Linked DNA regions of Canis lupus familiaris. The protein of the gene in region 3 interacts with the protein of the main gene of each other region in a pairwise test. Links are inferred from orthologs where the notes say so. Each region holds a gene or a part of one and is shown on either strand. Other genes may lie near its edges. The genes, in order: TOP3B, CPNE7, ADAMTSL4, LONRF1, CFAP206, STK16 and NATD1.

Region 1 (3,500 bases), on a different chromosome or scaffold from region 3:
GGGGAAACTCTTCTCTCTTGCCTTCCGTGCCATGTGTGCAAACACATGATTCCTCTCTACCCACACACACCTTTCCCGGCCCCTGTGCTGAGCCACGTTCTCACTCTGTCCCCTGTCTTCTGAGCAGGGGCACTGCCGCCAGCTGGCCCCATGCTGGACTCAACGTGGGTGATTAACGATGGTGGCTTTGAGTGCATACGTGACCAGAATATCTTTCTCTACCCCATGCCTCCTTGTAGATTTCAAACTAAGTACTTCCAGGGAAAATATGGCAATCTAGACAGCTCCCTCATCTCCTTTGGGCCATGTCAAACCCCTACCCTGGGCTTCTGCGTGGAGAGACATGATAAAATCCAGTCCTTCAAACCGGAGACGTACTGGGTGCTGCAGGCCAAGGTTTGCTTTCCCTTCCCTACACACGCTGGGTCTTTCCAGGTTTGGGCTGTGGACTCTGAGGGTCTTCTGTCATCATCCGGCCCATTAAACCCCCGAGGCCAAGGGCACAGGAGAGACGCCAGAGTGGTCTGTGGGGTGCTCAGGGAAGGGATCCCAGCCTTCATAGGCCTGAATGCATTGAATTTAGAGAGGCAAGAATGAACTCAGCCTTGAGGGGGAGGGGGCCGGGTAGATCATGCCTCAGAACAGTCAGCTGTGATGGTCAGGTCCGAGGTTTGGACCAAGGGCCATAAGCCACTGACTTTCAGACTTTTTGAAGTCTTAGAACCATTTCTCCAAATAATGCCGTCCGTGTAAGCTTCTTACAAGATTTAAAGCAATACAGAGCTGGTCTGGTTGACATAGGGCTGGGGGCCCCTGTAAGGACTACACCTAGTGCTGGCCAGGTGTCAGAGGGTGGGCAGGGATGGCATTTGTGACGGAGGTTCCAACACCCTTAAGGATACAGCAGCCTTGGCTCTGGGCTCCCCTTACGAGACTACTTGCCAAATCTCAGGGGAGAGGCCTGGAGTCAGGGCAGCCTTTCCTTGGGACAGGGCTGGGTCTCAGCCTACATATCTGTGCACCTCTGCACACCTGTATAGGTATGGCTGTGAGACCTTAGAGCCGGGACCATTTTCTTCCCAGAGGAGGACCAGCTTCATCTACCTCGATTCTCTTCCCTGGCAGTGTGTGCTCACCTGGACATTTTCTTTCCCGTCTTCTGCCTTTGTACTTTTTCCTATAGGTCAATGCCGATAAAGACAGATCTCTTCTTTTGGACTGGGACCGAGTACGAGTGTTCGACCGGGAGATCGCACAGATGTTTTTAAACATGACAAAGCTGGAGAAGGAAGCCCAGGTGGGCCTGCCCCACGTGTATCTGTCACGTTTGCTCGGGGCAGGGGTAGACCTTGGATGCCTCTGGCTAGAAGAGTAGCTCGTGACCTAGGGTCCCATCTTTCTTTCCTTTCTGGAAATAGACATCTTGTAGAAAGATGGACAGTTATTGATGCAAGCGGTAACTGTGTGCTACATCCCTGCTCTGTACCAGGCATTGCCCCACATCCACGACCTGCAGCCCCTATCCATGTGACCCCAGGGGCATTATCTCTTTTTGGCAGGACTCCATTTCACACCAATGTGCCTTTTCTGTGATACGGACGCTAACAACTCTAGAGGGACCTGTGTGCATGTCAGTGAACTCGGCCGAGGTCACACAGCTAGCATGGGATATCCCAGGCTCAGTCAGCTTTCCTGGCCTTTATGGTGCTGTGTTTTTTACTCAGGTTTTTTATGAATTTGAGAGTCATGTGCTGGGCTTTTAGGAAGAAGGTGATGCCACCTGGCAGGGGGCTGGCTGCCTGGGGTGGGGGCAATTCCACCGCCACTGCAGTGGCCCACAGCCTTACCAGCTACCACAGTCGTGCAGGTACGGCCTGGCCTTCTTCAGCTGCCTTCTCGTCCTTTTCAAGCTTTCCTTGGGTGCCCTCTGCTTAGACATGCAATTGATGCAGGCTTCCAGAACTTCCTCCAAAGCTGCTTCACACTTTTTCTTTTTTTTTTTTTTCTTAAGATTTATTTATACATGAGAGACACAGACTGAAAGAGAGAGGCAGTCATAGGCAGAGGGAGAAGCAGGCTCCTTGCAGGGAGCCCAGTTTGGGACTCGATCCCAGATCCCAGGATCACAACCTGAACCGAAGGGCGCTGCCCAATCGCTGAGCCATCCAGACGTCCCTGCTTCACGCTTTTATCCTTGATCGTGTTCTCAGGATACCCCTTGCCACCATCTCCAGGTCTCACCCATAGTGATCCCAGCTTCCACTGCAGCACACACCCATTTTGGACTAAATTTGCCCCCACATTTGTCCTTCTGGAATCCACAAGGCACTGCCCTGATGCATGGCTGGTCTCTGTGGTGTTAGGAGGGGCAAAGCATCACAGTTGTTTGGATTGTTTTAGCCACAGGCAAGACAGTCCTCTCTTCTGACAACCGTTCAGCCCAGAGTTTGAAGCTGATTGATATTTTATTTAAACTACATGCTGTTTACAAACATTTCAAAACAGTTACCAACATTGGAAAATTACAAGATTTCACATAAAAGGCCTGATTTGCAGCTTTTGTTGACAAACTGGAAGATGTAGCAACACCAGTAACCCCTGGTGGGAGCACTTGGGTGCACCGAGAGGCAAGTGGCTGCCCAAGGTGGGCCTGCACTCCGTGGCCTGCCGCAGGCCTCACCTGCCGTCCCAGTGGCCTGGCTGTTTCTGGCTCCTGTAGGATGAGTTTGTAACCCCTTCTCCTGGCTCTTCCCCATTCTTCTATGTTTCCTCTTTCCCTAGAAAGTTCCCCAGAAAAGAATTTTCTTTTTCCCTTCCTCGGACTGAATACATATTCAAGTCTTGAGACCATGGTGAAGAGTGAAACTGAGAAGCAGGGAGACCAATTGAATGAAACCAGACCCTTTGGCCCACACATCCTGATTCTCTATTGTGGTGTCTTTGCCCCTGCCACCCCAAATCCCTGAACCTATTCTGTCTTGTAGGTGGAGGCCACAAGCAGGAAAGAGAAGGCCAAGCAGAGGCCCCTCGCCCTTAACACTGTGGAGATGCTGCGTGTCGCTAGCTCTTCTCTGGGTATGTAGGAACGTTCCTCTAAAGCCCACAAAAGACTTCCTGGGTGGGACACCGTGAGCTATTCAGCCCTGGTGCAGCGCCTGGGGTTGCAGGGCAGCGCTGATGCTCTCACCTCTGCCGGCACTCTCCCTCCATGCTCACCTGTGCCGAGTGTTTCCCCCCCCCCCGCACCTGTGCTGAGTAGCCCCTTGCATGTTAACCTGTGTCAAGCCACAGCCCACCTGCAGTATCTTGCAAGGCTTAGTGGGAATCTGAGCCTAATGCTGAGCTAATTTCTCTTAAATTCCAGAGTGGAAATAACTAATAACAAACTAACAAACATGCAGGAGGATCCTATTTCAGAGGATTATTGGTTAATACTCAACAGCTTCTTTGAATTTACGTGGAGAAAATTCAGACTGTTTTTTATTACTAGACATCCATGC
Region 2 (3,500 bases), on a different chromosome or scaffold from region 3:
ACACAGTTTCTTTTCAGCTCTCCAGGGCCACTAGTGCTAGGTGAGCAAGGTCAGCCTCTCTGGCAGGAAGCACAGAGTCCCTGCAACCTGCCCACTGCCTGTTACATAGGAACCAGTTCCCAGCAGCCAAGGGGTCCCAGGACCCAGGACAGCCTCTGCTGGGGAGAAGCTGCGTGGCCCTGGAGGCCCCAGCAGGTACAAGGGGCTGGGGTCCCACTCCCCAGGCTCTCCTACCTCATACTTGGGAGGGATTCGAGCTCCAAACCCCAAAGCAGAAAATCTCTTGTCGCTGGAAGAGAGGTGGCCCCATCACACAGGGGTCCCTGATTTCCCGGGGGTAGGGACGGGGGTGCTTTGGGGAGGTATCCACCAGGACCAAGAGAGTGGGGCTCGATTCCACCCCTGTGTGACCAGGCCCACCCTGACACTTTCCTGGGCGCCCAGTCCCACTTCGCACCACATGGGGGACACTTAGGCAGTGCACGAAGAAGACAGTGGCCTCCAGTGGTGGGGAGAGCCGCCGCCTCCTTCTCCAAGCCTGTGCTCTGGGACCACAGCCTGACCCTGGAAAGGACCGGCCTCCTGCCTTTGGTACCTCAGCTCTCTGCCACCCACCCTCTCACAGAGGGGTCTACCCCACCATGATCTTAGTTTACCCAACTGTAAAGTGGGCCACAGACCGCTCCCCATGTTTGTGTGAAGGAGAACACGTGAGGGGCAGCCCCACCGTAGCACATGGGGGTTCTGACTCATGCTTCACCTCAGGGGATGGACTACCCATGGGGAGGAGCCACACAAGGACACCAGGGTCCAGCCCATGGAATGAGCCCCACCCACTGTGGCCCAGGCACTGCCAGCCGTCCTTGGGCAGCTTCCTCTGGTCGGTGGATACAGTCATGGTGCCCACCCCCTGGGCCGAAGCCTGTGCTGGAGGCCAGGGAGGCAGGAAGGGGAAGGGGAGAGGCGGGTGGTGGGGGACAAGGAGGGTGGGGGGTACAGAGCAGGTCAGGAGAGAGGGAAGATGGAGGGGGACAGGGCAGGTGGGGGGCACAGGGTGGGTCGGGGGGGACAGGGAGGGTCAGAGGGGAAAGGTGGGTCAGGTGGACGGGATGGGTCAGGGGGACAGGTCAGGTCAGGGGGGCAGGGCAAGGCAGAGGGTAGAGGGCAGGTTGGGGACTGAGGGACAGGCCCCACCTGTCATAGTCCTGGCAGATCTCTCCCACGGCCACCAGGGCCTGCAGGTACTCGTTGGGTTGGAAGGGGTTGATATAGTGTAGGGAGCAGCTGTTGCGGGGGTCACCATTGGAGGCTGTGAAGTCGATGGCCACCTGCAGAGACCCGGGCTCATGAGCTGGGGGCCCCTCTCTCACCTGGGCTGGACTAGGCACCCAGAACCCCCTTCGGCAAGTAGGGGAATGAGCCGTGGGGAGCTGCTTGCCAAGGGGTGCAAACGAGAGCAGTTCCAGGGCCTTCCGAGGGCCCAGCTCTGCTGGGGTGGAGGACAGAGGGGAACCTGGGGACAGCGGGCATCCGTCAGTGCTGACCAATGACCCTGAAGCCTGTATCCTCAGGCAGAAACAAGCACCTCTCCAGGGAACGCCAGCCCATGGCCCACAGTGCCATCACACTGAGCCCTGGGCTCATCCAGCAGTGTCCTGGGCCCGGGGCAGGGGTGGCCAGAAGGGACCCAAGGCCATGACCAGGTCCATCCCGTCTCTGCGGCCACGCTGCCCAGGCAGGGTCTGAGAATACAAGCCCTGGGCTGGGGTCCCCAAGGACTTCCCCTGCTGGGCCACTTCCCTCAGACCATGGTGGCTGCTGCTCAGGGGAGTGACATGACCCCATGCGTCCATGAATGAGCAAAGAGGTGACACACAGGCAGGGACACCAGGCTCTCTAGCTACAGGCCAGCCCCACACCAGCAGGGGCCTGTGGCTTCTGGTGCTGTCCCTGGCAGCAACAGGGGCCACTCTGTTCTCTCCTCACCTGGGTTTCTGTGACTGTGTCTGTCCTGGCTACATCCCCTCCCGAGGGAGACCCTCTGTGCCTGTTTCATCTGCATCGGAAAAGTCGCCCCCTGAAGAACCCAGAGCCTGGGCAGGGGGTGTGCAGGACCTCCAGACCCTGCAGAAGTGCCTACTGTACCCATTTATGCTTGTCCGCCCCATCCAGGATGGGGAGGGCCCCAGGTTCTGCCGGCAGGGCGGGGAGCAGGGTCCTGTGCACTCACTGTGAAGTGGATCTGACAGCCGCCCATGATGTAGTCCAGGAAAGAGTAAACCCTGTAGAACTTCCAGGCAGGGGCGTCAGCAGGGCCCACCCGGGGCACCCCACACCCAGGCACTGAGGCTGGAGCCCCAGGGAGCTGCCCTCCCCCCAGGGTCACCCGACCCCCAGCACCCCCCCACTTCCCTTCTCTGACACCTCCTCTCCTCCATCCCTCCTCACCTCCCTCCCCATTACTGGGGACCACTGGACCTCTGGGATGGGAGGCCTTTGAGGGTCCGTCTGACAATGGGGAGACTTGCAGGAGGGGCGGTTTCGGTGGGAGCCAGCCCCCAGCCCACTGAGGGTGAGTGGGGTGTCTGCAGGCAGGGGGCGCAGCTCACCTTCAGATCTGCCAGGATGACCACCCCGGAGTTCTTGTAATGACGCTTCTTCTGCTTGTATTTGGCGTTCACGCAGTCCCACTGGGCCTGGGGGGCAGGGATAGGCAGACACCCCCACCCCAGAGTGCCAGGGCCCAACACCCACCCCAAGGGGGCAGGGAGGCCTCAAACCCCAGCCCAGGGGCACCTGGGGGGCTCCGTCGGTGAAGCGTCTGCCTTCAGCTCAGGTCGTGATCCCGGGGTCCTGGGATGGAGCCCTGCTCAGTGGGGAGGGGAGCCTGCCTCTCCCTCTCCCCCTGCCCCTCCCCCTGCTCCTGCTTTATCTCCCTCTCTCTCAAATAAATCGATAAAATCTTTAAAAAAACAAAACCCAAAACCCCCAGCCCTGAACTGCATTTCTGCTGCTGTACCGAGCGGACTACTGTCCCTGCTCTGGCCCCTGGCAGGCGTGGTCACCACCTATCTTCTTTGGGTTTTCCCAGTAGTAAGAGTTTCCAGAGCAAATCCTGCTCCGGCAGGTGCCCTACCTGCCTCCTTGTGGCTCCTCCCAGGGAACCCTTTGCAGAAGGACCAGAGCTAGGCTTTCACCCCGTTTCCACCCTGTTTTCGGGGGAAGGGGGAGAGGGGCCCCAGCTCACCTGGTCCTCCCCGAAAGCTTTTTGCATCTCCTCATAGGTGGTGGAGAACTCCCCGATGAAGTCGTGCTTTCCACGGGAGTCGTAATCCCAGACGAGGCACTGGGGAGCCCAGGCCCCCTCAGCCCGCCTGCCCCTCTGGGACCCCCACCTGGAGTCCCCATCCCCGCCCCCACCGGCCCCCCATGCTGCCCCACCTTCAGAGGCCGTGTCTCTTGGCCGCTGCACAGACTGCTCAGGGTGACCTTGAAAGGCT
Region 3 (4,028 bases):
GACAGAAGCAGCATCAGACATAACCGGGGCCTGCCAACCAGCCAGAGGAGGTGTTGTGACACCCCCCACCCCGCCCCGCAGCGGGCAGCCAGCATCCCGGCGCCAGCTTCTCAGAAAGCAGAAGTTGCCCATCACTTGCCCCCGCCCTGCCCAGCAGTGGCCGTCCCCTCACTTCCAGGGACAGAGTGGCCCTCCGGCTGGCAGCCCCACACTTACCTGCCCGCCCACTTCTCCATCGCTCCTCCCTGGATGCCCGGGGCAGGGGACAGAGGACCGGGAGTAAACACACTACTCCCGCATCTGGGCGCTGAGAGGGCACGCTCTGTGGGGACAGGAGCCATGTGGTCACTTCTCCAGGCGCCAGAAAGCCAGGGGGTTGGCACGGAGGGCTACTCAGAAGGGCATCTCTGAGAGAGGATGGAGGGGTGTGGGGGGAGTGGTCCACCCCCTCTGACCTTAAGGGTGAGAGCAGGAAGGAATGCTGCCCTTCCTGGGCCGCTGAGGCTGGAAGGTGGGGGGCTGACCTCAGCCTCCAGACCGTGGCTCAGTGGCTCAGTCCCCTCCTGTCAGCCTGCAGGAACTCCTCAGCTCCTCCCTCCTCCCCACTAGGGATTGTTTACAGGACAGCTTGGGCCACACAGCACACGCTCTTCCTGAAGATGATTCTGATCTGGTTTGCCCTCCTCCCTCCCAGAGGACCCCGATGGCCGAGGGAGGCATGGGTGACAACATGTGGGACACCCACTCCAAGGAGTGGACCAGAAGCCCCATGGGAGTTCCTTTCCCTACCTGCCACCCAGCTCTTTCTCCCATTTTTAACGAAGCTCCTTCTGGAACACTCAGGCATCTCTGCCGGACTCAAACACTTTGTAGCCAAGAGATAAACTAAGTGGGCTGATGATTTAATCTCTGGAGAAGCAGGTGATTTTCCCCATCCCTCTGCACTGGCAATGAGAGCTTATGTCAGGCCCAACGATGACAGGCTGGGGGTACCCAGGAAGGAAAGATGCAGCTAGAGCTGCCCTTGCTCCCCAGCCACAGGCCTATCATTCTGAGGAGTAAGGAAGTCCATCCTACCTTTCATCGTCAGCAAAGTAGAGCATGGAACCCACCCCTGGTCTCAAAGCTCTCCAGCCCCTTGCTGCTCACTCTGAGCCCTTCCCACCCTCACTCCTCAACCTGCTCTTGGTTCTGCTTTCCAGGAAAAAAAAAAAAAAATGTTTCTGTTGGATCTGAAAGGCACCCAGGAGAGGAATCCAAGGAGCTGATGCCGAGGTGGGCCAGCTCGGGGGCAGGAGAATGAGACGGAAGGGCAGGAATGTACTTGGCGGTAAGGACACTCTCAGCCCCAGTCTCCTCTCTGAGACCCCAAGACTTGGAAGTCTGTGGGAGGGTTTGCAGAGGTTGGGCCTGGGTGCACAGGGTCACCTCAGCGGCTTTAGGTTGAGAAGGGGTTGCTGATGGCTGCTCCACCCTGATGGGGGTATAGAGGCTCTGAGAAGAGCCAACGGTCCACCCAAACCTTTAGCTCTGGCCTGCCTCTGTTCCTGTGGTTGAAGAGGAGAGATGGGGGTGATGGTCACCATCTGTCCCTGTCTGCTGCTGGCTACCCTCTCCACTCCCTCTGGACAGTCTCTGCTTCTCTCTGCTACCCCGGCTCTGTATCTTGCTGTCTCTCTCTGCGGGTCTACCCAGTACACATAATCCCGTCCTGAGCTGGGTTTGGCTTTGGCAGTTCCCTGGAGAAGTGAGGGGTGGGGGGTGGGGGTGACGTGAACTCCTGGAGCCCTGGCCAGGCCTGGCTCCCTCTCTGGAAAAGTCCTACCCCACCCCCTGTACAGCTGGGCAGGGGGCCGACACCCCCTCCACTGCAGAGACAGACATACATTTGTGCTTCTCACCCCTTTTCATGTTCCTCATGTGGGGTGTCTCACTGCCCAGGGTGAGGAAGGGAGAGGTCAGAAGTGGTCACCCCGGCACCAGGCTAGACACTGGTCTGGACAAACCTGGGCTCCTCCTGGCCACAGCTCCACACTGGCCAGTGAGGATCAAGGAGAGACCCAGGCAGGGCTAACCCCTTCACCCCCAGAGGGACCCACTTCTGGGAAACGGGTTGCTGCTGCAGGGGAGGGGTGGGACAGCGTGTTCCAGGAGAGCCCCTCTCCTGGGTCAGAACTTCCTGGTCCTCACTGTGCCCTCCATTCCCTGGTCCGGAGGACCATCCAAACAGGTGTCTTTCCTTTTCTAGTCTTCGGGCTGAGCTGGATCAAGGGCAACCCCCGGCACCGGTCCCAGCGTCCCTGGCCCCAACCCCGAGACTTAAGGGGGTGGCAGAGGCACACATCCTCGAAGGAGCACCCTCCCGGAGGAGGAGGGCAGGAGGCGCCAGCGCGTGCGGGGAGGTCCTGGGTATGTTTTCCAACTTCACTCCCGCGACTTAGTAGGAATTTTGGCTGATTCTCCGACCGGGTGATGGGGCCAGAGTTCCGCAGGATCGGAATCCCCTCCCCAGGAATTCGACCCCCGGAACTGGAAGATCTCCGGAGACTACAGAGCTGGGGCCGGAGCAGCGGCTGGGGTGGCGACCGCGGGACGCGGGGGCGGCGCGGCGGGGGCTCTGACCGGGCGGGAGGGCGGGCGGCCGGGGTCTCGGGGAGGGGGGTCTGTACCTGCTCCGCGCGGCCCCGGCGGCCTTAACCCTTCTGTGCCCGAGCGCTGTCTGGAGGCAGCCTTGCTCCGCGACGGCCACTCCGGCCCCTGAGCCGCGCTCGGGACACCACGGCCTCCGGCCGCGGCTCCGCCCCCCGCCCGCCCCGCCCCGCCCCTGCCTGCTGGCGCCCGCCCGCCCCGCGCCCCTCCGCGGCCCCCAGCCCCCGCCGCGGGCCGCGACCACCCGGCGTGCGGGCCCCGCGGGTCCCTGGCGCGAGCGCTGGCCCGGCTGGGGCGGGGGCGGGGGCGGGGGCGCGGGGCGCGGGGCGGGGGGCGGGGGCCCGGCCTGCTCGCTGGCTCTGAGCGGAGGCTTCCCCCCGCCGCTCCGCGCAGCCTCGTGCGGGCGGATCAGCCCGGCCTGCCCCGGGTGGGGCTGTGGCCGCGCGGTGTGACGGCTCGGGGACCTCGACGAGCCTCGATTTCTCCATCCATAAAACGTTACACACGGGGACGCTGGCTCTGCGGTTGGGCGTCTGTCTGCCTCCGCCCAGGGCGTGACCCCAGGTCCCAGAATCCAGTCCCGCGTCGGGCTCCCTGCATGGAGCCCGCTTCTCCCTCTGCCTGTGTCTCTGCCTCTCTCTCTGTGTCTCTCTCTGTGTGTGTGTCTCTCTCATGAATATATAAATAAAATCTTTAAAAAAAAAATGTTACACACATAGGGCGTGTAGCAGAAGAAATGCGCTGACTTAGGAGTCAGAGGATCTGGATGTGCATCTTAGCTCCAGGAGGCGCCAGCTGTGTGACCCTGGGTGAAGACTTCAACCTTTCTGTGCTGCAGTTTCCTTGTCTGTAAAATGGAACTAATCTGACGTGTCTGATGGGCTGGGAGATAGGGCTGCCCACCCGGATCTGGAGGAATGCACCCCAGACTCAGGGTGGTCACACTGGGGAGCAAAAAAAAAAAAAAAAATAGGCTTTAGCTTTTTACCCTGTCCGCTTATGTATTGTTTGAGTTTTCACCCAGAAGCTCTATGTTTAGTTACGTTAATAAATAAATAATTTATACAACATGGCTGACATAGAGTAGATAATAAATGGTTACTACTATTTAAGATTTTTATTTGCCATCTACTCATGAACCATAGTGACAGATTGTTGGGTTGACTATTTTCTTTTTCTTTTTTTAAAGATTTATTTATTTATTTGAGAGACAGACAGACAGCAAGAGCAGGAGGGCCAGAGGGAGAGGAAGAGAGAAACTCAAGCAGAGTCCTTGCTGAATGCAGAGCTGGACTCCAGGCTCAAACTCACAATCCTGAGATCATGACCTGAGCCAAAACAAGAGTCCGAGGCTTAATTGACTGACTGAGCTACCCAAG
Region 4 (3,500 bases), on a different chromosome or scaffold from region 3:
CCCTTCCTTCCTCTCCTGCTCACTAGATCCTCCTTCTTCTTCAAATAGAGGTCTATTATTTATTCACTTTTTCCAATGTATAGTTTAACGTGAAAACTAACATGTATTTTGGTTGGTTTCAGGTTGTTTTTTGAGCCAGTAACAACCCCTTGTGGACACTCATTCTGTAAGAATTGCCTTGAGCGTTGTTTAGATCATACACCATATTGTCCTCTTTGCAAAGAAAGCTTAAAAGAGGTAAACATTTGTATATTTATCTGTTTATTGGTCTTAAGCTTGGCAACATTGATTTCTGTTTGGCCATAGAAATAGTGATTACCACGTTCAGAATAAGTTACTTTATGTATGCTAAGTGACCAGGAAGGATAACGTTTCATTACCCAAATGCTAGTGGTGGAGAAAGAAGAATTTAGAGAGCATAGGGGAAAGTTAGGTGGTCCTGGAGGCCAAGCCCCATGTACTTTTTTTTTAACAAGATCTGGTGTGATCAAGTACCTGGTGTAGAATGGGTTCAATTTTAATGACAGTATTGGGGAAACCCAGTTGCCCTGCCTTCCATCCTCCTCAGTAATAGGCTAGATTTTGGCCCCAGTTCTGCCCCCTTTAACATCTGGACAAACTCTAATAGAATTTTTTGCCTTGATGGAAATGCTCTATACTATGCTGTCCGCATGGTAGCCACTAGTCACATGTAGTAATTAAGCACTTGAAATGTGGCTAGTGTGACTGAGGAACTGTATTTTAAATTTTAATTCTCATTTAAGTAGGCAGAGGTGACTGTGGCTACCATTTGGGCAGCACAGCTCTAAAGAGTGGTATATGGACAGAAGAGCTTCCCATAGCCCTTGTATAGCCCATGTGTTAAGGAAATAGCTAGATCTCAGGTGCATATCCTTCTGTAACCAATGGAAAGACAACATTCTACCAATCCTGCTTGGGTGACTGGAACCCCCCCCCCCCCCCATAAGGTGAGGCCCAGGCATCATAATTCTGAGCTCCAACTGCAAGGATGGCATTGATTAGGGAGAGTGATCCTGTTTCTTGTGGTGATAGGATTGCTCAAAAAAAATAAAAAGTTGATAAGACATTTTGTAAATGAATGTGTGTATTTATTTCCTATATAGAAAACACAGCTCTGTACAGATATGATACCATATGTGTATTATTAATTTGATATATAATAAGCTTGTATGTAAAACATTAAACCATATACAAATTTTGTCCAGAAACAAGATAAACTCATTCTTAAAGAGTTTGTTAGTTACATTTCAGCTGATATACTTAATGTTTTCAGGTGAAGTACTCCAATCATGCTGTTTTTCTTGTGTTTCCAGGTTTTTAGATACTCTGTAGCACATTTATCACACTTTTTCTCTAATAATTAGACACGATGGCTTTAAATAAAGATACAATTAACACACTGTTTAAAAATAACCTTATCCTGTGTCTTAAAGATATCCTGTATAGTAGGTAAAATCTAATATATATCTTAAAAAACAAATTGATATGCTCTATAGTTTTACTCTTTTCCTACTTGTCATTTTCTTTTGCTCATTTTTTCATTTGAATGTATTCTAAAGATAGGATTTTTATAGCAACATAATAGTTCATTGATTTAACATTTCCCTGTTGTAAGTTGTTTTGTTCTTTTTTTATATATACTACACTTTGTGTCTTTGACTATATTTCCTTAAGATAAAATTTCTGGAAGGTGAATTATTAACCAAAAGCCATATATTCATAAGACTCTTAAAACCAATTACTGGGTTGCCTACATTCCCCAGAAATATTGTACAGATTTAATTTCCTATCAGTAATGTAAGAGAGGTGGTTATTTCCCCAAATTTAATATAAGAGTATTACATTATATATTATTATTATATAGCCCCATGGTTTTCAAAATGTGTTCCCCTTCACCTGGGAACTTGTTAGAAATACAAATTCTCAGACCCTACACTCCACAGCCACTAAATCAGAAACTCTGTGGGCTAGGGCTCAGCAATCTGCATTTTAACAAGCCCTGATTCGTGCTGAAGTTTGAAAACCACTACTGTTACCCGTTTCCCAACCTCCCACATTCCCTCCTCCTCCTCTGTTCTTCATTGGATAATGACAAACCCTTATTTTTGCTACATCTGCAGATTTTAAAAGTATGGCTTCTCTGTATCTTGTGATTGTCTCCCAAAAGTCATTCCTCACTACTTTTATGAAATTTATATTGGTCATTTTTGTGTTCGAAAATCCTGTACACACCCTCTGACCCGGTCCCTGGCCTTAGGCAGTTTTTAAACTTATCTACAGAAATATAATGTCTCCTTGTCCATGTAATGAATACGGTGCAGGGTGTGGTAACTGCCTTTTATGTGGTAAAGGCGGTAGAAATGGGCTTCTTGCGAGCCAGAAAGATAATTAAGGCAGACTTCACGAAAAAGGTAAAGATGTAGCCAAGCCTTGCAGGATAGGCAGGCTTCTCATAGCAGGAGGGAGAGAGGCACGGCTTTTAGCAGTTACTAGAGAATGACAGAAATGTGTGAGTGGCAGTTTTGCAGAGTATTGAGGGAGCAGTACAAATGCACCATTTTATATGGAGAGGGACACAACCTCTCGCTGAGGGTCTGAGTGATTGATAGTAGGTGATGAGGGAAGCAAAAATCTGAAAGAAAAATTATCTGGAAACTCTGCCACTGAAATGGAACAAGAAAGGGAATAGTTTTGCTTTTCTTAAATAAGGCACTTGCCTTTATTTTATTAGCTTATTTTTGTTTCTCAGTTAAAATGCTAGTTTGAAGTACCCAGAAGCTGCCCGATAGAAGTTGGCCTTTGGTGTGGGAGAGGGCAGGGCAGGCCTGAGTGCTGCTAATAGAGGATTCGTGGCCACAGCCAGACAAGGGTCTTCTGTATAGGGCACGGTTTCCACTGCAACCGTGTACCTTTATTGGTCTCAGCACAGCCTGGACAGGTTGACCTGTTTAGCACCATCTGTTGTCATGTTCCCCCCCTCACCCCTTAATTCAGAATTGACTGTATAAATATGTAATAAAGGCTTTACTCTATTCAGTTCAACTGTTTTGCCTGTTTTATACCATAGGAAAAGTACTGGAATGTAAATAATATTGTCTTTTAGTATCTAGCAGATAGGAGGTACTGTGTCACACAGCTGTTGGAAGAATTGATAGTGAAGTATCTGCCTGATGAGCTGTCTGAGAGAAAAAAAATATATGATGAAGAAACTGCTGAGCTCTCACAGTAAGTTTCTTCTCATAAAGTTAATGTAATCCCCACCCTTTGACACAGTAAGGCGACCTCCTCCCAGCAAGCTGGATCCTGTCTGCAGTTCAACCCAGTCTAGCCAAAGGCGTATTTTAAACAAATAACTGGTCAGCTCCCCCCTCTCCTCAACAGACAGAAGTTTTTTTTAAAAGTTTCTTTAGTAACTTCCAGATGTTCCACTGGGGGTTGCCGACTCAGCTCTTCACCCCGTTAGCAGGCTTTTAGGCGGA
Region 5 (4,135 bases), on a different chromosome or scaffold from region 3:
CACAAATTACACTGAATGAATAATTATCTGAATCTTAATTTAGTGCTAGGTCTATAGTATATGAACAGTCAGTTAATGTTCTCAGTGTAACATTAGATTAATAACAAGATGTTTCTAAAATACACATTTAATGACATTGCTACCTGCCAGTATCCATATCCATCCTTCCTTACCAACAGCCCCAATCTGGATTGGGGACAAGATTTGTTCAGCTGAAAACAGAAAAAGAAATCAATGTCCCTGGCTCGCCTGCAGTACCATTCTGGTCAATAAATGTAAACAGATGGGAAAAATTCTAAGAAAGCTATTACTTTCTGAATATAGTGACTGACCCAACTGGCACATGCAAGATGGTGACCCAGGAAGCCAGGAAAAACAACCTATGTATCTTTAGACTTTATGAGAAACAATAAATCTCACATTTTTTTTGTACCACCAGTTGGTAGGGTTTTGTTTCATGAAGCTGAAGGCAATAATGGCTAATACATATATTGTATTCAGAATTGCAAACAAATAATTTAAAATTTGAGAACTGTCGTATAATCACCTTAACAAGTTTCTGTACATCACTTTTCATGAGGGTTCTATCCATGTTAAAGCCATTACTGGGGTCCAAGACAACAGCTTTCACCTGAGAGTGGAAAGAAGCTATTAAATAATTTTATTTCATATAATTATGAAACTGGTTTGTTTCCATTTTTTAAACTGCCTCCTGATTACTCAGGGGTCGATTATTCAGCTGATTTTCTTATTATTACCCAATTCACCAGTGCTTTCATTAGAGGTTGAAGGAAGCAAGCAATAACCATCACATTTGAATATGGTGTTTGAAAAATTATGTGGAGAAATAAATTGAAAAAAGTGAATAGATTTTAGATTGGGAAACTATTTGAATATTTTATCATATTTTTATTATGTATTGTTAAATCTAAAGCAAGAATAGAGAGACCAAGGCAATGAGTAATTTTTATAACAGTGAACAAAAATACATGCTACAGCTCTGACACAACAATATTACCGATGCTTCTAAAACAAATCAAGATCTTCTAAATCAGTGTCTATAAATCTAGAATGACATGCTTCATAGAAAAAAATAATTTTTGCTAACTTGTCCAGTGGCCTCAATATGTTTTCAGCAGAGTAACATTTAGGAAAGCTTCACAAAATCTTAAGAGGGAAATCAGCACCACTTAAAGCTATTTTTCAATAAAGCAATAATTCAAAAAATATTCATTCTTACCATAAAAGCAGCCAGAGTTTCAGAAACAATCTCTCCATGGCCTGCACATTCTTGTCCTATTTCTCGAATGATATTCTTTATAACACTTTCTGCCTGAGTGGGAGGCATTCTGCCTAAGTAAAACAATGATTATTTTTTTAAAGAACTGTATTTATATATGATTTTTTCCTCTTAGATTTGTAAAGAGTCATTCTATTATTTATTAACCTATTAGTATTTATTAGCATCTATAAAAATTTAAAAACTTTTCTCTAATTTATAAAACTGAAGGACTTTGTTGATGACAGAGCAATCAGGACTTCAAATTGGAACGGAAGTATTTCCTATTTTGTGAAAAATGACATAAATAGAGCCATTTTCAAAACAGAACTGGAGCAGCCATTTCAGGGGAACTGCTCTGCATGTCCTCTTCTCTTCTTTACACCTTTGAACTAAGCCCAACTGCCAACATCCCAAGAGTCAGCAAGAACGAGAAAATCCTGTTTGAAAAGCAATAAATAAGAACTCTTGACTAGCGACCACTTCACTTACCCAATGACTGAAGTACAAATCTAGCCCTGCTTGTCAACACCAAAGAGCTCTTCTTAAAAACAACCTACCCAAACATTTTTCTTCCATAAAAACCCTGAATCCACCTCCTTTAATTGGCGAACTATTTGGGTTTCTACCCAAATCTGTACATCCCCAATTGCAATCCTTTTATCACAAATAACCGCTTTGCCTCTTGAACTGGTTTCTTGTTTTTAGGTTGACAGTCTAAATGCTGGTGATTACCAAAGGTATATTTATATCATGATATATATTTTTCCAATTTAATGACTGAACTGTATTAGGGAGGTAGATTTAATGAGAAACCCCAGTCCTATCGGTGCAGGTGGCAAAATACAGTTTTTAGGCGGAAATGTTTAGTCCGCCACATTCACTAAGTGATCTCTCATAATTACATGGGACTCTAGGAAAACAATTCTTGCTCAAATCCTCTAAATTCTCTTTCCTGCGCATCCCAGCTGGAGTTTGGGCTTTTGACTAAAAATATAAATGAAAAAAAAAACCAAAACATATTATGTGAAATATGGACATTTTGAAAGATAAACTCCTAAATTATTAATTCCATTTACTACAAACCAATAAAGGGTGGTACGTTTTAATGAGTTTCCCCATCTTCCCAAGCATCAGTAACTGAGCACTGGGATTCTTTGCACGTAGAGAGGAACAAAGGCAATCCGGGTAGATAAAGCGAACTCTCAGCATCACTAATGTTCATTTAAGGTAGCGCTTGGCATTTTGTCCAGTAGAATCAGACGGCCTGGGATCCGTGGCGACCCCATCATTTTCTAGCTGAGACCCTAAGCATTTGCTTCCCCCCTCTGAGAGCCGGTTTCCTTCTCTGAAACTTTGGTATGACTAGTACCCTCCTCCCAGATTGTCCCAAGACCTAAGCGAGCTCTGTGCACCTACTGGTTAAAACAGTGCGAGGCATAAAAGGCATAAAGTAAGCGATTAGAACAGCGGCTTGCAACAGGTACTCAGGGTCAGCGGCGCCTGCGCGCGTTCGCGAGAGCGGCGGGGGCGGGGCCGCGGCGGGGGCGGGGCGGGGGCGGGGCGGGGGCGGGGCCGCGGCGGGGGCGGGGCCGCAGGGGGTTGCTACGGACTCGCCTCCGCCCCACTTCTCCCCTCTCCCGCGGTGCCCCGCAGACACCCGAAGACTCAGACGCGCGCTCAGCGGGATGAGAGGTCTGACCTGCCGACCTGGGCGCCTCTGACCGGACACCACCCCTGTTTCCGCTGAGTCTGGGCGCCGGGAAAGGAATTCTGACGGCAGCTGAGTCCCAACCGAGGCTGCCCCGGGCGTCCAGCCGCGGGGGCTCCACCTGCTGCGCACGCGGCCTCCTCTGGCGGTACACCTGGGGCTGCGGGGCGCGGCGCCTCGAGGCCCCTCCACGCCCCGCTCTGCCCTGCCTCGGGCAGGCCGCGGTACTCCGCGTGGGCCCAGTAACCGCGGAGACAGAACGCGGAGGCCCAACCCAGGGGGCCTTGTGGGCGGAGCCAACGTGGGGAGGCGTGGCCGCGCCCAAACGCCAGAGACTTTGCCCGAAGGGATGGGCAACAATTTTTTTTTTTAAAGATTTTATTTATTTATTCATGAGAGACACAGAGAGAGGCAGAGACACAGGCAGAGGGAGGAGCAGGCTCCATGCAGGGAGCCCGACGTGGGACTCCATCCCGGGACTCCAGGATCACGCCCCGGGCTGAGCCACCCGGACTGCCCTGGGCAACAATTTTTAAAAACAGAAATGAACAAAATATATAGAAGGTCCCAAACCTGGTAGAGAAAAGCAGGCTCACTGCACCTTAGTGGTTAAGGGTGTCAAACACGAGGTTTCTTAAGAGTATTTACTTGGGTGAAAATTAATGAAGAGAAGTCTCCCTAAAAGCGGACTTGGAAGGCTGGAAGGGGTGCCTGCAAGGGGAAGCCCCTCCCACTCCACCATTAAATTATAGGAAGAATTGCCAATTAAAGACCGCAACGGAAGAATCTTCAAAAGGAAAAGAATCGTCAATTACAGCCTGAACAGGGAAGTTGTACATTGTAACCTATGAGAAATCGAATACCCCTGTACCTCAGCCAATGAGAAATCCTCATCCCCCTGGACTCTTGCTTTTCTCAAACGGACTTTTTTTTAATTTTTTTTATTATTTTTTTATTTTTTTATTTTTGAAGTCTATCTATTTGACAGAGAGAGAGAGGCAGGCAGAGGCAGAGGGAGAAGCGGGCTCCAGGCTGAGCAGGGAGCCCGGTGTGGGGCTCCATCCCGGGACCCTGGGATCACAAGCCCGGCTGAAGGCAGGCGCTTAATGGACTGAGCCCCCCAGGTGCCCCTCTCCAATGGACAT
Region 6 (3,956 bases), on a different chromosome or scaffold from region 3:
GCTGGAGGCTTCTGCACCCCCTGCTTGCCACTGCCTTCAGTCCTGACACTTAGCTGTACTCATTCTGTTCAAAGGGAGGAATGATACCACTTCCTGAGCAATTGAGTACAGTGTCAGTGACGGTTCCCAGGAAGGAAGTCGAGGGGGATGGGGACATACACGGTTCCTGGGGCCCCATGCAATCGAAACCAAAGACCTGCCCCTCTGCTGCACAGCAGGTACAGAGCGGTACTCCTCCCCATCCATGTGCCCCCCCACATGCTCCTCACCCAGACATCAGTCCGCTCATCAATGACACAGTGGCTCTGCACGGAGAAGAGCTCTGGGGCGCGGTAGGAGATGGTGCATCGCTGGGCTGCCCAGTCCTGGAAGAGTGGCCCCATAGCTCAAAAGAGAGGCACAGGTCATAGTCATGTGACCAAACTGGGGCATGCAACAGGAAAGGCTGAGGATGGGGAACAGGAGGGCAAAGGAACCTGGACACTCTTTTACCTGCAGGGCCAGAGCCTGGCGGGAGCCTTCCACATGGATGCAAGCTTGATTCATGGAACCCAAGTCCATTAAAACTGGCTGCCCCTCATCTCCAAGCAAGATATTGGTGGGCTTCAGGTCCCTGCAGGAAAGTGGAAATAAATGGCCCATGAACATCCCTGGATAGGGAGACTAGAATCCCTGGGGGCAAAAGAATCATGGGGACTGTTCCTTGGGAGGAGAGCAGAGACCACTCAATCCTTTTGGTGAGGCTCTTTCTTTCTGCCCCATAAGCACACTGGGCCCTCCCACTGACCTGTGGGCATAACCTCTGGCATGAATGGCCTCAAGGCCTCTGCAGATACCCAGCAGCAGCTGAAGGATTTGATCTTCAGTCAAGAAGTTGCCTTTGTCCTTCAGCCTTTCTATCTCGTTCCACAGCGTACCCCTCTGCAACACAAGTTTCCCCACGGTTGGACAGGTTTTCTGGGTCTCTGCTCCCTCAGCCTGATCCCTTCCCTGTGTCACAGCCTAGCAGCTCTTTCACCACACACACTACACACCTCACAGTCCCACTTGGGTTCCCCTAAACCCCAAATCTGAAGCGGTCCAACACAGGACATGGTCTCTGCTTCCTAACGTGCTTGGCTACTCACACAGCCCTCGGTAGATGACTCTGTTGCAAGCCCCTCCATTGCCAGGAGACTTTCTGACCTTGAAGAAGGGTAGCAGCAGCCAGGCCTCATGTTTAGTGCCCCGCTCCCTCAGACAATAAGCCACAAGGCGGAGGATGTTGGGGTGATGGAAGAGGCGATGCATGTCTGCTTCTCGTTGGGCTTCCTCCCGATCCTGCTGCTCGTGACACAGGATCCGCTTCAGGGCGTAGAAGTGTCCATCATGTAACCCCTCCACTAGGTCCACATAGCTGAACCCACTGTGGGCCAAAGGGGTCAGTGAAGGACCACGGTCATCTCCCACACTGCTTGGACCCAGAGGAACTCCCTGGGTGGGGAGGGGAGGGGGTGTCTTTCCCAGTCAGCAGAAACCCTCCCAAGACGTGGCTTCAGGAGAAGTCTGAAGATTTTACACTTTGAGCTCAAGGGTAGGAACACAGCAATCTTTGAGGTACCTTGGTCATAATGCACAGCTCTGCACGTGACAAATGCTCCGGAAATGTTACATGAGTAAGTAACAGTCAACATCTGTCAAGTGCTGTGAACCGGGCCCTGGGTGAGATTATTATTATTATTTTTTCTCTTTTTGGTGAGATGATTTCTATGCACTATCTCATTTAATCCTCACAACTCCATCAGCGACAAAAGATAATTATCTCCAGGGCAGCCCGGGTGGCCCAGCGGTTTAGCGCAGCCTTCAGCCCAGGGCCTGACCCTGGAGACCCAGGATCGAGTCCCGCATCGGGCTCCCTGCATGGGGCCTGCTTCTCCCTCTGCCTGTGCATGTGCGTGTGTGTGTGTCTCTAATAAATAAAATCTTAAAAAAAAAAAAAAAAAGATGATTATCTCCATTAAGCAGATGATGAAACCACGGCTTAAGGTCACACCAGGTGGAGCCAGGAGGCCTGGCTCCAGAATCCACTTTCTTGGCATTCGGGTTGCTAGGCTCTGTCAGGGGAGCTAAAGGATGCTTTACAAGGATGAACCTCCTGAGGCCCTATCACGTGCAGACTGCTGTCCTTCACTCACCAGAACCCTGGGGGCTGGCTAGGCGATTTCAACACTCACCCCTCCCCCAGTTTCTGGATGAAGAGGTAGCGCTTGTTGTCAATGAGGACGGTTCCCCGGGAGCAGACACACAGCGCGTGGCCCATAGCGCCTCAGTCATCCTCCTCAGGGGCGGTCCGGGGCTGCCGACGGCCGCGTGCGGGCTGAGGGGGCTCTTCCAGGCGACGCGCTGGGGGCCCCGCGGATCATGCTGGAAGGCAAAGGACGGCAGGGTCGTGGGCCAGGCACGACCCCCGAAGTGCCGACGTGCAGAGCTGGCGCCCGGGCCTCGGAACGCAGAGGAAACGAGCCTTGGCGACGCCGGCTCGGGCACGGCCGAGGTCGGGTGCCCTGGAGCCTCGGGCCACGCCGCGACGCCCAGGCCGCGTCCTCGCCGTCGGGCCGCCTCGGCAGCCGCGGAGCGTGGGGGCGAGGCCCGGGCCCACCCGGCGGGGCCCGCCCCGGCCTCGGCGCGCAGAGCCCCGGGAGGGCCGGCCCCGACTCCCCACTGACCTGGCTCCGGCCGGAGACGAGCGCCGCGGACCGGAAGGAGCGTCTACGTCATCAGGCCGCGCCGGCGTAACGGCCCGCGGTATCCTAGCAACCGCAGGGCATCCGGAGGATGTGGGGGCGCGGAGCTGAGAGGCCGGGGGCGGGCTAAGGCGCGGGGGAGCACGGGTCCCGGGACCCGGTGAGGGTTCCACACCAGGCCTTCAGTAGTGGGCAGGACGCAGGCACCCGCGCCCAAGGGGAGCAAAGCCGGGCTCGGCCCGAGGCCCCCCAGGCCCCCCGTCTCCCAATGCCGGAGGTAGGAAGCTGCAGTCCAGCCCCGAGGGGCGGGGGCCGGGCGGGGGCCGGCGGCCTGGACCCCCACAGCGCCGATCGGTGCACCCTTCGGGGCTCAGGCCTGCATCCCACTACCCTAGTTTCAGTGGTTAAGAGCTTACTAGCTGCGTGACCTTGGACGACTTAACCTCTCAGAGCCTCGGTTTCCCCAGTTGTAAACAAGCTCTAACAGTACCTAAGGTTAGGTGCCCGTACGGGGAGGCCAGGCTGCAGCTCCCAGCTCTGCTAAACTAGCTGCGTGACCTTGAGCAGACTATTTAAAATTTCTGCCTCTCAATTCCCTCATGGGTAAAATGGGAGTGATAATTACCAACTGCACGGAGCTTTTTGAAGATGAAGTGAGATGTAAAGTGCTTAGCACACTATCTGACACAGCCTTGGTGTCAATAAATAGAAGTTGCTGTTATTTTTATTATGATTCTATTTTTCTTATCCTGGTCCTTACATCCCAGGCTTGGGATTGTGAAGGCAGGAGTCATGGAAATTCATAAATTCCCAAGCCTTGGCCCCAGGTAGTTGTTCTTGACAGCTCTCGCTGAGGCAGGGCAGGGATAAATTGAAGAGCGGTGGACATCCAAAGAAGACAGAATGGCTGAGGTGGTCTCTTTTGCTGTAGCAGGGCCACTAGGAGAAAAAAAAAAAAATCCCATTTATAACTTGGTTCCTACTTTCACACCACTGGGAAGATTGATTCCGAACCTGTTTTAGCCCCCTGGTTCCGACATTCATTCATCTAGATTTAACCTGCTATGTACCGAGTCCCGTGCTAGAAGCTGAGGATGCAAGATGGACAAGGTACTCTTCACCCTCAGGGAGCTCAGTTTAGTACCACAGTGCTTCTCAATCTTGAATGCCTTTCGGATCGCCTGGGAATCTTGTTAAAATCCAAATTCTGATTCTAATAGGTCTGAGGTAGGA
Region 7 (4,291 bases), on a different chromosome or scaffold from region 3:
TCTGCTCTCTTTCTGGAGCTCAGTTTCCCCATCTGTGGGGTGGATCCCAGGATCTCCAAAGCTCCCTCCTACACTTCTGCCTCTTTTGGGGTGAGGCGGCATTTCACCATCCGCCCTATCGCCCTATGGGCTACCCCAAACAAGGCTTCTCAGGTTTGACCCTCCTCACAGTCACACCTGCGTATAGGTGCCGCATCTGCAACATCAACCGTCCCCCTGCTGCTTATGAATTGCAGCTGTGTGCCTTGGGCCTCTATTCCTTATCTGTAAACTAGAGTCAAGCAGAACTATTTTCCAGGCTCGTGATAAGAATGTTCACTGAGGGGGGGGCGGCGGGGACTAACCCTACGCCTTGCCCGCAGCCGCGCCGCCGCGCCCTCTGCGCCCCCGCCCGCGCCCCCGCCGCCCCGTCGGGCCAGCCCGGCCTGATGGCGCAGATGGCGTCCACGGCAGCCGGGGTGGCGGTGGGCTCGGCTGTGGGGCATGTCGTGGGCAGCGCCCCGACCGGAGCCTTCAGCGGGGGCAGCTCGGAGCCCGCCCAGCCCGCCGCTCAGCAGGCCCCCACCCGCACTGGGCCCCAGCCCCTGCAGATGGGGCCCTGCGCCTAGAGGTCAGGCAGTTCCTGGACTGCTCCACCACTCAGAGTGACCTGTCCCTGTGTGAGGGCTTCGGCGAGGCCCTGAAGCAGTGCAAGTACGACCACGGTCTGAGCTCTCTGAGCCCCCTGCCCTGAAGAGACAGGTACGGACTGGTGCGGATCCCTGAGCCAACCCTGCACCCACCTTCACCCCTTCACCGACAGCCGGACCATGACCTCAGATTGTACCCATGTAGCTGGGATTGGGAATGAGGAGGGGGGTTTCTCACCCCACAGATGACCGGAGACGCAAATGTGCAATTAAAAGAGTTTATTTTAGACCATTAAAAAAAAAAAATGTTCACTGAGCGCAGGTGTAGCTTACCAGGGCTTTGCCCCGCACCCGCTGCGCACACAGCAAGTGCTTAATAACTGGTGGCTTCGAGGGGAGGATTAGAGATCCCCGTATATAGGTCGTTTCATGTTCTTGAGAAGGGGTCCGTGTAGGGGGCCCAAGTGGCTCGCGGGTCCAACGCAAGAGGGCACAGCGTCCCCGGGGCGGACGCGGCTCGCGTTGTTTTGTTTGGAGGGACGAGTGGCACGCGGCCAGGGAGGCGCTCGGCCCCTTTAAGAGTCGAGTGGAATGTATCAAAACAGAAAGGCCGCGTGCCCATTGGCCGCGCGCCGCACGTGACCTCACAGCTGATTTCCTGGCCCCCCTCCTTTTTTTGTTGCTGCCGCCGCCGCGGCCGCCGCCGAGTGTCAGTTTCTGCGCCGCCGCCTGCGGTCCCCCGGCCGTCCCGCGGCCCCCCCCCCCCCGCCGCCGCCGCCGCCGCCCCGCCGCGGGCCCGCGCACCTCTCCGCGCGTCCGGCCCCGCCGAGCCGGCTCGGCCCGAGGGTCCCGGCGGCCGCTGCCGGCGCTGCCCCGCGCGCAGATGGCGCACTCGGCGGCCGCCGTGCCGCTGGGCGCGCTGGAGCAGGGCTGCCCCATCCGCGTGGAGCACGACCGCCGGCGCCGCCAGTTCACCGTCCGGCTCAACGGTAACGCGGCGTCCGGCCCGCCCCCGCCTTTTGTCTGCGAGCGAGCGGGGCCCGCCGAGGCCGCCCCCTAGCTGGGGCGCGCGCCCTCGGCCCCGGGCCCGGGAGGGGCGTCGCGAGCGCGCGCCGCGGGGTGGCCTCCGCGGGGCCCCGCTCCGCTCCCGCTCCGCCCCGCGCTCCGGGAGCAGGCCACGCGCTGTGCCCGCGGGCGAGGCGGGGGCGCGGCCGGCTCGCGGGGCAGGGGTGGGGGGAGGGGGCCCCGGGGCAGGCAGAGGTCCAAGCAGGGCCGGCCCGGGTCCTCCGCCGCCAGCACCCAGCTTCAGGCCGCAGGGGACCCGCACCTGCTCCAGCGCCGCCGTGTCCCGGTGTTGGACACCCCCTGGGGGCTGTTGTGGGAGTCCTGGAGAGTGAGTCCACCGTGACCTCCTGCCTCTCCCTGGTGGCCACACGGCTTCTGGCCGCCCCTGGGAACTTTAGCTTTTCTGCACCCGGGTTGGGGGCATCTCCTGGGCAGACCTGGGGTGAGGGAGAGAGGGGTGTCTGCTTCACGGGGGGCGGGGGGGGGGGGTGCGATAGAGGGGAAGGTGTCACCATCGGTCCGTTGGCTCTGAGACTTTGGCCAAGTGACCTCCACTCTGTGTGCCCCGGTTTCTCCATCTCTACAATGGGAGTGACACCAGTGCACACCTGAGCCCTGGTTGGAGGGACAAAATGCTGTAATAATGAGAGTAAAGAAGCCTTAGAATAGCCCTGGCAGAGCAAGTGCTGCTCTACTGATGGTGGTTTTGAAAACCAGAAAGCAAAGTCTTCATTTCCTGTAAAGAAAGTTTCCACCACTTACTAGCCTGTGCCCCCTCCTGGCTAAGAGGTCTGAGGGGACAGAAAATAGAATGATAAGATCTAGGATCAGGAGCTCTCTATGCACCCCCTCTCTGCATTAATAACTTTTTCTTCCATCCCAGCTGGGCCCCCCTGCGGCAGTGTCCAAGCCAGAAGGGCCCTCAGAGGCCATTGTGCCCATTTCTGACAAGGGAAGACAGAGGCTCGGCGAAGGGAGAGGCTCGCCTAAGGTCAGGCAGTGAGTTAGGGCAGAGCTGGGATAGGATCCCCCCTAGTGTGAGCCCTGGAGCTGGGCTTATCCAGCCTGTACTTGCACGGGAAGTCAGGAGGGGCTGGGGCAGGGACAAGGACGGACCGCATCCCTGCTACAACATCCCCTTCATGTGGGCATTCTCACCCCACGTTACGGATGAGTAAACTGAGTTTTGAACGGTAGGGGAGGAGTGACCCCCCAAAGTGCCAGAGCTCAAGCCCAGGCCCGACTGACCAGGCACCGTGTTCTTTCCGTGTGGACGCAGGTTCTTCCACCACTGTGGTGCTCACTGTGGTCCAGGTGACCTTGACACTCCAGTTGGCCACTTGTGTGGAGGGTCCTTGTGGCTTTTCACAGCTTCTTTTCTGAGGTTCCAGGGAGGCCTGTGTTTCCCTAGGGGCTCAGGAGGTTCCTCTGTACAGTCAGAAAGTTTGGGGTTTTCCTTTTTGTTGCCAATCAGTCCAGCCAAAGGACACCCCTCCAGGATTGGCAATGGTCAAGGCTGGATGTGCCTAGCCGTTTTTCTAACCTTGTCTCCTGCCCTTCCCTGAATGGCTAACTCCATCATGGACTGGGGCTCCCCAGCCAAGCCCAGGGAGCAGTGGGAGGCCACCAGCTTCTGTCCAGCCTGGGAGGGGGGTCTGGCTGTGTATATGGGGAGTAGTAGGGTGAGAGCATCCATGTCTGGGCCTGGGCCTTTCCTCAGCTGCAGAGGGTAACGTCCTGCCATAGAGCCCCCCGAACAGCAGGGCAGGCCCTGGAGACTAGCTCAGGGTGCCTACCGAGGGAGGTGAATGCTCAGCCTGAGAGCCAGAGCAGCCTCTGGGGCCATCCCCCTGGCAGAGCTGTACCAATGAGTTTCTAGCGAGCTCCGCTTGTGGGCGATGGCAGAGGCTGAGCCACTGCATCCGAGTCCTTGCGTCCCGGGCGGGTTCTGGGCATGTGGCGGGGGGGGGGGGGGGGGGGGGGGGGGTGAGGGGAAACTGCTCTTCCTGTTTTATAGATGAGGATCCCTAGATACAGGGAAGTGACTGGCTTGCTCAGGGTCTTGTACTCAGAGGTGGGAGAACTGGGATCCCTCACACAGGCTGTTATTGAGTGCCTACTGTGTACCAAACATTGTTCTAGGTGCTGAGTACTGGTAGGCTGACAGTCTAGACGGGCAGTAGACAATATGTGAAGTGTCAAGTGTCCTAGAAGGCAAGGGCCTGGTTAGGCAAAGGCTGCTGCCTAGAATCCAGGGTCCAGGGGGGCCACTCTGGGAACGTGCCAGTTACTTAAAGACCTAAAGGAGGCAAGAAGGGAGAGCTCCATCAGACAGAGCACTCCAAGTGGAGGAGGCAGCAAGACCGAAGGCCCTGTATGTCATAGGTGGGGACACCAGGGCACATAGCCAGTAGGCATCTAAGGCAGCACTGAGCCCCTGTCCCTGGGAAGTCCCTCCTTGGCCTTAGCTCTGACCTCCCAGCCAGGGCTGAGTGTCCCACGTGTTGCAGGGAGGAAGGTCATCTGGGTCCTAGAATCCTGGTGCTTTCTGCATGCTCCCTGATCCCCAACCCTGGGGCAGGGTAAGCCCTGACTTC

Evidence for each region.
Region 1: the proteins of ADAMTSL4 (region 3) and TOP3B interact in binary tests that used the Homo sapiens proteins (3 or more experiments, as listed by UniProt). The two-hybrid records come from large-scale screens. The link is inferred for Canis lupus familiaris from reciprocal best matches to the Homo sapiens genes ADAMTSL4 and TOP3B.
Region 2: the proteins of ADAMTSL4 (region 3) and CPNE7 interact in binary tests that used the Homo sapiens proteins (3 or more experiments, as listed by UniProt). The two-hybrid records come from large-scale screens. The link is inferred for Canis lupus familiaris from reciprocal best matches to the Homo sapiens genes ADAMTSL4 and CPNE7.
Region 4: the proteins of ADAMTSL4 (region 3) and LONRF1 interact in binary tests that used the Homo sapiens proteins (3 or more experiments, as listed by UniProt). The two-hybrid records come from large-scale screens. The link is inferred for Canis lupus familiaris from reciprocal best matches to the Homo sapiens genes ADAMTSL4 and LONRF1.
Region 5: the proteins of ADAMTSL4 (region 3) and CFAP206 interact in binary tests that used the Homo sapiens proteins (3 or more experiments, as listed by UniProt). The two-hybrid records come from large-scale screens. The link is inferred for Canis lupus familiaris from reciprocal best matches to the Homo sapiens genes ADAMTSL4 and CFAP206.
Region 6: the proteins of ADAMTSL4 (region 3) and STK16 interact in binary tests that used the Homo sapiens proteins (3 or more experiments, as listed by UniProt). The two-hybrid records come from large-scale screens. The link is inferred for Canis lupus familiaris from reciprocal best matches to the Homo sapiens genes ADAMTSL4 and STK16.
Region 7: the proteins of ADAMTSL4 (region 3) and NATD1 interact in binary tests that used the Homo sapiens proteins (3 or more experiments, as listed by UniProt). The two-hybrid records come from large-scale screens. The link is inferred for Canis lupus familiaris from reciprocal best matches to the Homo sapiens genes ADAMTSL4 and NATD1.

Annotation. Positions count from the first base shown.
Region 1 is NC_049247.1:31,374,837-31,378,336, reverse strand, and holds part of TOP3B (DNA topoisomerase 3-beta-1), read left to right. Parts: intron 1-239; coding exon 240-396; intron 397-1,183; coding exon 1,184-1,297; intron 1,298-2,984; coding exon 2,985-3,075; intron 3,076-3,500. UniProt on the Homo sapiens protein: Releases the supercoiling and torsional tension of DNA introduced during the DNA replication and transcription by transiently cleaving and rejoining one strand of the DNA duplex.
Region 2 is NC_049226.1:64,449,365-64,452,864, forward strand, and holds part of CPNE7 (copine-7), read right to left. Parts: coding exon 3,442-3,500; intron 3,347-3,441; coding exon 3,248-3,346; coding exon of another isoform or gene 3,209-3,247; intron 2,697-3,208; coding exon 2,610-2,696; intron 2,291-2,609; coding exon 2,231-2,290; coding exon of another isoform or gene 2,146-2,230; intron 1,329-2,145; coding exon 1,195-1,328; intron 290-1,194; coding exon 235-289; intron 1-234. UniProt on the Homo sapiens protein: Calcium-dependent phospholipid-binding protein that may play a role in calcium-mediated intracellular processes.
Region 3 is NC_049238.1:60,392,771-60,396,798, reverse strand, and holds the start of ADAMTSL4 (ADAMTS-like protein 4), read right to left. Parts: upstream 2,801-4,028; 5' UTR 2,670-2,800; intron 2,410-2,669; exon of another isoform or gene 2,249-2,409; intron 1,331-2,248; exon of another isoform or gene 1,203-1,330; intron 922-1,202; exon of another isoform or gene 323-921; 5' UTR 237-322; coding exon 217-236; exon of another isoform or gene 31-216; coding exon 1-30. UniProt on the Homo sapiens protein: Positive regulation of apoptosis. May facilitate FBN1 microfibril biogenesis.
Region 4 is NC_049237.1:37,049,457-37,052,956, reverse strand, and holds part of LONRF1 (LON peptidase N-terminal domain and RING finger protein 1), read left to right. Parts: intron 1-122; coding exon 123-237; intron 238-3,124; coding exon 3,125-3,246; intron 3,247-3,500.
Region 5 is NC_049233.1:47,142,735-47,146,869, reverse strand, and holds the start of CFAP206 (cilia- and flagella-associated protein 206), read right to left. Parts: upstream 2,801-4,135; 5' UTR 2,730-2,800; coding exon 2,699-2,729; intron 1,354-2,698; coding exon 1,241-1,353; intron 632-1,240; coding exon 548-631; intron 1-547. UniProt on the Homo sapiens protein: Essential for sperm motility and is involved in the regulation of the beating frequency of motile cilia on the epithelial cells of the respiratory tract. Required for the establishment of radial spokes in sperm flagella.
Region 6 is NC_049258.1:25,668,451-25,672,406, reverse strand, and holds the start of STK16 (serine/threonine-protein kinase 16), read right to left. Parts: upstream 2,801-3,956; 5' UTR 2,706-2,800; intron 2,404-2,705; 5' UTR 2,300-2,403; coding exon 2,214-2,299; intron 1,625-2,213; exon of another isoform or gene 1,610-1,624; coding exon of another isoform or gene 1,601-1,609; intron 1,406-1,600; coding exon 1,186-1,405; intron 922-1,185; coding exon 788-921; intron 614-787; coding exon 493-613; intron 366-492; coding exon 270-365; intron 1-269. UniProt on the Homo sapiens protein: Membrane-associated protein kinase that phosphorylates on serine and threonine residues. In vitro substrates include DRG1, ENO1 and EIF4EBP1. Also autophosphorylates. May be involved in secretory vesicle trafficking or intracellular signaling.
Region 7 is NC_049226.1:42,921,049-42,925,339, reverse strand, and holds the start of NATD1 (protein NATD1), read left to right. Parts: upstream 1-1,491; 5' UTR 1,492-1,512; coding exon 1,513-1,618; intron 1,619-4,291.